Macaca mulatta: one gene and its partner. The protein of the gene in region 1 purifies or fractionates together with the protein of each later gene. This does not show direct contact. Links are inferred from orthologs where the notes say so. Each region holds a gene or a part of one and is shown in the gene's direction. Other genes may lie near its edges.

What was found. The genes of interacting proteins can lie anywhere in the genome.
Region 2: the proteins of FTSJ3 (region 1) and NIFK fractionate together in Homo sapiens (co-fractionation; 3 studies listed by BioGRID, with this or other methods). This does not show direct contact. The link is inferred for Macaca mulatta from reciprocal best matches to the Homo sapiens genes FTSJ3 and NIFK.

Annotation. Positions count from the first base shown.
Region 1 is NC_133421.1:73,620,012-73,624,976, reverse strand, and holds the start of FTSJ3 (pre-rRNA 2'-O-ribose RNA methyltransferase FTSJ3), read left to right. Parts: upstream 1-1,331; 5' UTR 1,332-1,515; coding exon of another isoform or gene 1,516-1,582; intron 1,583-1,755; coding exon of another isoform or gene 1,756-1,861; 5' UTR 1,862-1,891; intron 1,892-2,124; coding exon of another isoform or gene 2,125-2,171; intron 2,172-2,268; 5' UTR 2,269-2,293; coding exon of another isoform or gene 2,294-2,373; intron 2,374-2,788; coding exon of another isoform or gene 2,789-2,888; intron 2,889-2,985; coding exon of another isoform or gene 2,986-2,999; coding exon 3,000-3,180; intron 3,181-3,258; coding exon 3,259-3,374; intron 3,375-3,491; coding exon 3,492-3,596; intron 3,597-3,681; coding exon 3,682-3,782; intron 3,783-4,005; coding exon 4,006-4,086; intron 4,087-4,177; coding exon 4,178-4,324; intron 4,325-4,459; coding exon 4,460-4,595; intron 4,596-4,965. Other genes in the region: PSMC5 (26S proteasome regulatory subunit 8), read right to left, coding at 230-320, 924-976.
Region 2 is NC_133417.1:15,734,520-15,739,536, forward strand, and holds the end of NIFK (MKI67 FHA domain-interacting nucleolar phosphoprotein), read left to right. Parts: intron 1-213; coding exon 214-425; intron 426-2,769; coding exon 2,770-2,829; intron 2,830-2,948; coding exon 2,949-3,017; intron 3,018-3,387; coding exon 3,388-3,576; 3' UTR 3,577-4,255; downstream 4,256-5,017.

The DNA of each region.
Region 1 (4,965 bases):
AAAATGTTTAACAAACTGTGAACACTATGACCCTCAAAGGGGTGGGACTGGAGGAAAACAAGAGATTGCTTACTTCTGATACACACACCCTACTAGCTAAGAAACAAACAAGAAAGGAGAAGCAGCAGCTTCTTCCACTGCACTCCCAGTGGAATTAGATGGATTTGTGGAAGTCCGTTTCCATCCCCCATCATCCCGCTTCCTAGCTCTCTCTGAAGTCCGTCCTCACCTGGAGTTCTTCAATCTTGGACAGATAATATTGGCGGAGTCCGCTGCCTGCCTTCCCCTCCTCCAGTTCCATCTGAAGACACAGAGTGAGTCTTAAACGACAGGTTAAACATCCGAGGGGATAAAGCCACTTGCAGGGCACTTTGAATAAGGTTTGACACCAGGTAGCTTTGCGTAGTAAAAAAAGTTTGGACTTCGGAGGCTCAGCATCTGGGTTCTAATTCCTCCCTCCCTGGGAACCCTCCATTTTCCCACGACTAAAATAAAAAAATGGGAACGCCGCCTACCTTGTACGACTTTTAGGAGGACCGAGAGGCGATATGATATACACGGGGGCGCTTTGCACTGCGTGAAGCGCTCTACAAGCCCGAGGTGTCGTTACTGCCGACGGAGCAAGCGGAACGGAGCCGAAGGACTGGCGTCCCGTCTCCTGCGACCCGTGGGCCGGCCGTTCCCGCGCCCATCGCTCCCCTCACTCACTCCGCTTCTACCGCGTATTCCTCTCCCAGCCTTGCCCTGACTCACCGAGGGCGGCGCTGACACAGCAGATCCAGTCGCAGGCAGCGTCCAGCCTGGACTACTCCAGCCACCTCCGACCCACCCAACCCTCCTGCCCCGGCCCGCTCTCCACTTAGATTACGCTCGCTCCGCACCCAGCCCCGTAACCTGCCGGGCCGCCACTGCAGCCGCCATACCTGCTCTGGCCCGTCAAGCGCCATCTTCTCTCTTCAGCAGAGACCGCCGGCATCCGAGTCCCCTTTGCGCGCAGGCGCGGAAGCGGAGGCTTGTGACCTGAGACCAGGCAGAGAAGAGTTCCGGGTCAATGGGCGGGGTGCGCGGCCAGACCACACTAACTAAGGGGACCATGATGGGAGGGGCGGCTACGAGAGTTCAGGGGCTTTGGAGGGGGAAGAGGAAGGAGCAGAACTCCTCAATGTTGCCTCATTGAAACTATGTTTGTAGTTCTTGTAATATGCCTTCCTAGTCTCAACTTTCAACTTACAAAATCCGAGGACAGAGTACCGAGAACAATCTATGGCCACACTCAAAATGGCGGAAAACCTCGAGCCAGGGACGCAAGCGGAAGCGGAAGTACGTTTGCTGCATACATGTGCGGTTCCGAGTGTGGAGAAAGCGGCCGTGGGTCTAGGTAGAGTGTGCGGAGAGGGGAGCGGAGTGGAATTGCTGCGGGAAGTGGGAAACTGAAAGAGGAATCTGGTGATCCGGAAAGAGACGTCCTCAACTTCTACTTTCTCCCCAGATTGAGCGATATTCCCCCATTCCACCATGGGCAAGAAGGGCAAAGTTGGCAAGAGCCGACGGGACAAGTTTTATCACTTGGCGAAGGAGACGGGTGAGTCCAGATTCGCTCAGTCTGCGTGCGAGCGAGCGAGCGATCTCTGCCCGGTTCGCCTGCTCTTTCTGACCATTGTGTACCTCTCCTGCAGAAGGGGTAGTGGGTTGCGAGGCTGGAGAAATCCTGCTGGTGATGGTGAAGCCCTCTGCGCACTTGGTTGTTTTGTCCAGGTTACCGTTCCCGATCTGCTTTCAAGCTGATCCAGCTCAATCGCCGCTTTCAGTTCCTGCAGAAAGCCCGAGCCTTGCTGGACCTGTGTGCTGCGCCAGGGGGATGGTTCGTAACACTTGCCACAGGTTGCTCCTGGTGGCCGCTTTCTGTGTTCTGAGCTGCGATGGTTTCCAGTTTCATTGCGGGAGAGGAATCCCGAATCCCGGTCCCCTTGGAGGCCGTTTCCTTTCTTGACTGCAGAGAAAGGGCTTGGAATACGTGCCTATGATATGTTCTGGCCAGTGCACGTAACACCAGGGATGAGAGGTCAGTTGCCAAGAGGGGGACAAGGATGGCTGTAGGTTTTTAAATTCCTATTCCTTTTATAGGCTGCAGGTAGCTGCCAAGTTTATGCCTGTATCCAGCCTTATTGTGGGTGAGTAACGGACAGCTCTCCTTGATGTTTTAAGGGGTCGGTGTATAAAGTACTTTGTCCTGTATTTCTCTCCTCCCTGCTTGAGGCAACCCTTTAGAATACTCTGACCTGATTTATTCCAGGAGTGGACCTGGTTCCAATCAAGCCTCTCCCCAATGTGGTGACTCTCCAGGAGGACATCACAACAGAACGTTGTAGGCAGGTAATAGGAGTCTTTCTCTTCCTTCCCCCTTTATACGGAAACATCCACATCCCTGAAATCCTCTAAAGGCAATTTTTTTCTATTTACCATGCTTTGAGCACATTCTTGCCTGACATTTGTACAAGACCCATGGTATTCGTAGTGCCCACTCCAACCTTTATTTAGAGTCAGGGATAAAGGTGTTTGGAATTGGGAGAAGGGCAGAGATCTTTAGTGAAGTTTTTTCCTGTGAACTCACTGTCAGACTGTAAGCTCCATGAAGGTAGAGACATACTGTTTTTGTTTACTATTGTTATCTCCTGTGCCTGGTAGAGCATTTGGCCCATAATGGGCACTCAACAAATAACGGGATGGACAAATGGTTGAACCAGGGCCATTCCTGTGTTTGTGTTTCCATAGTTCCTTTTCTTTTTAGGCCCTGAGGAAGGAGCTGAAGACCTGGAAGGTTGATGTTGTGCTCAATGATGGGGCCCCCAATGTGGGGGCTAGCTGGGTCCATGATGCTTACTCACAAGGTACAGGGAGTGTGGTGTTTGGAGATCAGGCAATGGTGGAGTTGGGTGCATGCCCTCCTGGGCTGCAGTGCCTCAACTAATTGTCTCTATCCTACAGCCCATTTGACACTGATGGCTCTGCGTTTGGCTTGTGACTTTTTGGCCCGGGGTGGCTGCTTCATCACAAAGGTTTTCCGTTCTCGTGACTATCAGCCTTTGCTATGGATCTTTCAGCAGCTGTTCCGCCATGTCCAGGCCACCAAGCCCCAAGCCTCTCGCCACGAATCTGCAGAGATCTTTGTAGTCTGCCAAGGTGGGCATCATTTCCTTTCTCTTGATCCAGCCTCCCAACTCCCAAAGCACACTTTTTAATATATCTTGTCATTTTTAGGATTCCTGGCCCCTGACAAGGTTGACAGTAAATTCTTCGACCCCAAATTTGCCTTCAAGGAGGTTGAAGTTCAGGCTAAGACTGTTACTGAATTGGTGACTAAGAAGAAGCCAAAGGTGTGTTTTGGGGAATGGGGCCACCCTTGGGTCCTGGAACTCTGGAGAGGTTGGGCCTGGTGGGTCCTACAGATACCCAGAAGGGACTGCCCAATCTTCTCTCTTTTTCTCCCTAAGGCTGAAGGCTATGCTGAGGGCGACCTCACTCTTTATCACCGTACCTCAGTCACTGACTTCCTCCGAGCTGCCAACCCTGTCGACTTCCTGTCTAAGGCCAGCGAAGTGAGTCTCCAGCCTTGAGGGACATGAGGTAGCCCCGGAAACATGGCCTGAGAATCTCCCGACACCTTTCCCTCCTCCCAAACAGATCATGGTAGATGATGAAGAGTTGGCACAGCATCCAGCTACCACTGAAGACATACGGGTGTGCTGTCAGGACATCAGAGTGTTGGGGCGCAAGGAGCTCAGGTATGCAGCGGGGTGGGCATGGGGGCCAGGAGCCCTGGAGGCGGGAAAGGCCATGATGTTAGATCTCTGGGAAGAGGATATTGCTGTGCTAAAGGTTTGGGGTAGGGGCCTGAGCCTTTTGGTTTATGTAGCTGAAACCTGAAAAGGTGGATAGTGAGCCTAAAACAAGGGGGCAGGGACAAAGCGGGAGATGGCAAGATCAGTAATAGTATCTCTGGGGCAGGTTGCTACTAAACTGGAGAACAAAACTTCGGCGATATGTGGCCAAGAAGCTGAAAGAACAAGCAAAGGCACTGGACATCAGGTGAGGAGGGAACGCAGCCAGGCAGGTGTGGACGGGGTGTCCAGGGAAAGAGCCCAGGAAAATAACCCAACTCCTGGGACTGTTTTGCCAGCCTCAGCTCTGGAGAGGAAGATGAAGGTGATGAGGAGGACTCAACAGCTGGGATCACAAAGCAGCCCTCTAAGGAGGAGGAGGAGGAGGAACAACTGAACCAGACCCTGGCAGAAATGAAGGCCCAGGAGGTGGCGGAATTGAAGAGGTGAGAGGAGCTGGGGTGGAGCTTGGAGTCCACCAATGCAGGGATCCTCTGTGAAGATGGGAGAAGAAAATGCAAGGCATGGATAGAAACTCTTTGGAGCTGGGCCAGTTTTACTCCCTGAATCCACCCCCTCAGGAAGAAAAAGAAGCTGCTGCGTGAGCAGAGAAAGCAGCGGGAACGTGTGGAGCTGAAGATGGATCTGCCTGGGATTTCCATTGCAGACGAGGGGGAGACTGGCATGTTCTCCTTGCGCACCATCCGGGGTCACCAGGTGAGGTGGCATTGGGGGTGCAGGCTTAGGAGACATAAGAATCTGTTTGGGTGTTTGGAGGTTGGGGGTGTTGCATGTCTTTTTAAGTTGCTGAATGATAGGCTGTGGTTGCTGTCTTCACCACAGGGTGCCTTGGTGAGTCTAAAGTCACAAAGAAACATAAACCTAAAAGGATGAAGTTAGGTAGATAGATGACTGTGATACATTATTCTTGAAGAACTAGAACATCAGAAAAGAACTTATAATGGATGCTGCCAGGTTACTTGAGTTACAAGCACAGAGGAAGAGAGGGTCTCCCTTAGAGGGGAGCAGCATTCTTCAGTTCATTGAGACCAAGTGAGCACTCACATTAGGCTGCTTCCACTCAATA
Region 2 (5,017 bases), on another chromosome or scaffold:
CCAAGTTCACAGCTGATGAGGCTGACCCGGTAGTGTCTCTATTCACTTCCCATTGCTGTGAGAGAAGCTGGGATTACAGGTGTGAGCCACTGGACCCAGCCACATCATTTTGTTATGTGAGGAATGGCACTGGGGAGATTCTAAAGTTAGCATTAAAATCTCTTTCCTACCATTTTGTTGAAACTTTTTATGTTTTTTTCTTTTTAAAAATAGGTCATTTTATGCCACCTGAAAAAGTACATAAAGAACTCTTTAAAGACTGGAATATTCCATTTAAGCAGCCATCACATCCATCAGTGAAACGGTATAATCGGAATCGGACACTAACACAAAAGCTACGGATGGAGGAGCGATTTAAAAAGAAAGAAAGATTACTCAGGAAGAAATTAGCCAAAAAAGGAATTGATTATGATTTTCCTTCCTTGGTAAATATTCGTGAAATCTTTTTTGTGGTTTGTTGTGGGGAGGGGAGGGGGCGACTTTGTACCTTGTAAAGGACCTAGCCTAGTGCTTATCACAATCTTGGCTCACTGCAACCTCCACATCCTGGGTTCAAGCAATTCTCCTGCCTCTAGCCTCCCAAGTAGCTGGGATTACAGGTGCACACCACCATGCCTGGCTAATTTTTGCATTTTGAGTAGAGACAGGGTTTCTCCATGTTGGTCAGGCTGGTCTCGAACTCCTGACCTCAGGTGATCCACCCACCTCAGCCTCCCAAAGGGTTGGGATTATAGGCGTGAGCCACTGTGCCCAGCCAGTTTTTTGACTAAACTTTTTTTTCTTTTTTTTTTTTTTTGAGACAGAGTCTTGCTCTATTGCCCAGGCTGGAGTACAGTGGCACAATCTCAGCTCACTGCAACCTCCACCTCCCAGGTTCAATCGATTCTCCTGCATCACCCTCAGGAGTAGCTGAGATTACAGGTGCGCACCACCACACCTGGCTAATTTTTTGTATTTTTAGTAGAAATGGGATTTCACCATGTTGGTCAGTCAGATCTCGAACTCTTGACCTCAGGTGATCCGTCCACCTCGCCTCCAGAAGTGCTGGGATTACAGGTGTGAGCCACCATGCCTGGCCTGGCTAAACTTTTGAAACATTCCATTGTAAGTTCTTCCTAAAACATTGTGAGACCAGATTCTGTTATTTCCATTATTCAGAAGAGGAAAGTTGTTTTTTGTTGTTGTTTGAGACAGAGTCTCTGTTGCCCAGGCTGGAGTGCAGTGGCACAATCTCGGCTCACCGCAAACTCCTCCCAGGTTCAAGTGATTCACCTGTCTCAGCCTCCCAAGTGGCTGGGATTACAGGCGCCCACCCCCACGCCCAGCTACTTTTTGCATTTTTAGTAGAGACGGGATTTCACCATGTTGGCCAGGCTGGTCTCGAGCTCCCGACCTCGGGTGATCCACCCGCCTTGGCCTCCTAAAGTGCTAGGATTATAGGAGTGAGCCACCATGCCTGGCTAGAAGAGGAAGCTTCTTTTAAGGAGATAATCTGATTTGTTTACCTTACATAATCTGTTTTTTAAGTTACTGAAGTAAACCCACTATTTAACTGAAAACTATAATACTCTTAGATTGCCATTTATTAGCCAACTGAGGTAGTGTGTGCCTGTAGTCCTTGCTACTCAGGAGGCTGAGGCAAGAGGATCTCCTGAGCCTAGGATTTAAAGTTTGCAGTGAGCTGTGATTGTATCATTGCACTCCAGCCTCAGCAATAGTGCAAGACCATATCTCTAAAAAAAGAAAAAGATTGTCATTCAGAGGTGACACTGCCAGAATTAAGTCTTTGGTTTACTGTATGCTATAAGTAAATACCAAAACACTGAACCTTTCGTCCATCTGTCACAGTAAGGAGAGCTGTGTCTTTTATTATAGATCGAGAATGAAGCTCATTATGGTATGGCTAGTATAGGTAAGGGTCTTATTCTTTTCTTTTTTTTTTTTGAGACAGTCTCCGTCTGTTGCCCAGGCTGGAGTGCAGTGGCGCTATCTTGGCTCACTGCAACCTCTGCCTCCCGGTTTCAAGTGATTCTCCTGCCTCAGCCCCCTGAGTAGCTGGGACTATAGGCACACACCACCACACCCAGCTAATTTTTTGTATTTTTTTAGTAAAGATGGAGTTTCACCATGTTAGCCACGCTGGTCTCGAACTCCTGACCTCATGATCCACCCACCTCAGCCTCCCAAAATGCTGGGATTATAGGTGTGAGCCACTGGGCCAGCCAATCTACTAGGTTTTTAACCTTATCCAGAAACTAGGTGACTGTGTTATTCTCCTTTGGCTCAATTCTCGGTGGTTAACTTTTTGCCCAAATTCCAAATATTGTCTTTAATAGTATTAGAACATTTCGCCAAGGCCTTAGGCCCTGGTACTCTTGTGAACCATTTGGGAACTGAGACAGTGAAACTTGGTAAGAGGCATGCAAGCACTGCTTTTCCTGTACCCTGTTTGTGACTTAGTGGAGATGGGGGTGGCCTGGCTTTGCACGTTCTTCTTGCTTCCGCCCTCCTGAATTCAGGATTCTGTGAATCAGTGAGCTCCAGGTGTTGGCCTTCCCTTCAACCTCTGCAGCTCTGTCAGTTCCTCTACTGGGTATTTCCTAGTTTTGCCCTTTACTTGAGATAATTCACTATATTTATGAGTTTTGATTTTTAAATTGAAATGTTCTGTCATTTAGGGAGGATTTACTGATAATATATATGAGGATCTAATGCTAAGTTTAGAAAGAAAAGATACGAGATTGTCAATTTATAACTTCTTTATTAAAGATTTTGCAGAAAACGGAAGGTGTTTCAAAAACTAATCGTCAGACGTCCACGAAAGGCCAGGTAAAATGTTTTTTATCATTTTACATGCAAGATATTAGAGAAAGATAAGTAGGAAAACATTGAAGACTACCATAGCTGATCCATATTCAAATTGATGACCTTTAAAATTTTATTTTAAGGTTTTACGTAAGAAGAAGAAAAAAGTTTTAGGTACTCCCAACGTTCCTGAGAAGACTGTGGATAGCCAGGTAAAATGGTTTTCAATATTCTGGGCACCAGATATTATAGAAATAATTTGAAGGAGGAAAAGTAGTTTCTGCTACTCTCATTTTAAGATTTCAAATTAAATATTGTGACATTTGGTAGATCTTTATTGTTGATTTAGCAATTTTCTGCCTAAAACCTTGTAATGGAACATGCTATTTTTGTTGTGAATTTCTGTACTAAGTTGATAAGCATCTGAGTTCTTTATTCTTTGCAATAGTATCACCAAAAGACGGAAACAGACCTAAAATAATGGGGCACAACTTGTAAAAATAGAGACGAGGTGATATTTTTAGGTTAAGTCATAATCTTGGTCTACATTTCTGTATTACAATCTTTACTTGTTGAATCCAGGGCCCCACACCAGTTTGTACACCAACATTTTTGGAGAGGAGAAAATCTGAAGTGGCTGAACTGAATGATGATGATAAAGATAATGAAATAGTTTTCAAACAGCCCATATCCTGTGTAAAAGAAGAAATACAAGAGACTCAAACACCTACACATTCACGGAAAAAAAGACGAAGAAAAAGCAATCAGTGATTTTCAATGTATTATATTTCTTCTGAAAAATACAATATTTTTATGAGAATGGACTTTGTATTTTACTAGGTGCAATGAATTGCAACCTTTGACAAGATTTTCAGAGGAAAAATACACTGTTTGGTCAAGTTAAAAAAAAGCAATCTGTAATTTTGGATTGCCTGCCCTTGTCTGAAATACAGAGGTGCATACCAGCTTGCATTGGGTTGGCTGACACTGCCTCTTTGTCCTGGCCTCTAATTTTCTTTTGATGTTTCATAGCTATCCTTAGTTTACTCTGCTTGGATAGAAAGTTGACCACTAACTGCAGGTTTAAGTACTAAACTGCAGCCTTTTCTGTCACTGGCATTTAAAGACCACCAATCTTGTTTGTCCACCTACATGGTTTGTCAGGGACATTTAACTCATGGGGATGCTTTAGATTTCAACATGAAATGGTTAAAGCTGGAAGTTTAATTATATGTAGAGTGAGAAGGCAGTTCCAGTGTTAACACAGATTTGTTTTTGTGTTCACATTTTAATCGAGATTCAAAAATGACTCATTTTTACCGATAATGTTAACGTTAGTTTTGGTTGTGCTAGCATGGATTAATAACCACCATTTTATACCAGTGTCATCAGTGAGGAATTGTATTTCAAGATTCAAACAATAACCAGCAATTAAACTTTTTTTCTACGATTTATTTGTTTGCGAGTAGGACTTGGGAGTCATTGTGGGGATAAAAAAAGTAAATTTTCCCCTTCATTAGCGAATTCAGATTCATTAAAAACATTGCTTTCAGATGTCATAGCTCATGCCTATTATCCCATCTCTTTGGGAGGCTGAGACAGGAGGATCATTTAAGGCCAGGAGTTGGAGACCAGCCTGGGCAACATGATGAGAGCCCCTCTCTACAAAAAATTTTTAAAATGAGGCTGGGCATGGTGACTCACACCTGTAATCCCAGTACTTTGGGAGGCCGAGGCAGGTGGATCATAAGGTCAAGAGATTAAGAGCATCCTGGCCAGTATGGTGAAACCCCGTCTCTACTAAAAACACAAACATTAGGTGGGTGTGGTGGCACATACCTGTAGTCCCAGCTACCTGGGAGACTGAGGCAGGAGATCACTTGAACCCAGGAGGCGGAGGTTGCAGTGAGCCAAGATTGTGCCACTACACTCCAGCCTGGTGACAGAGCAAGACTCTGTCTTAAAAAAAAAAAAAAAAACAAAAATGAGCTGGGCATGGCAACGCATTCCTGTAGTCCCACCTACTTAGGAGACTGAGGTGGAAGGATCACTGAGCTCAGGAGTTTGAGGCTACAATGACCTGTGGTTGCACCATTGCACTCCAGCCAGAGTGACAGAGCAAGACCCTGTCCCTTGAAAAAAAAAAAAAAAAAAAAAAAGGCTGGGCACGGTGGCTCACGCCTGTAATCCCAGCACTTTGCGGGGCTGAGGT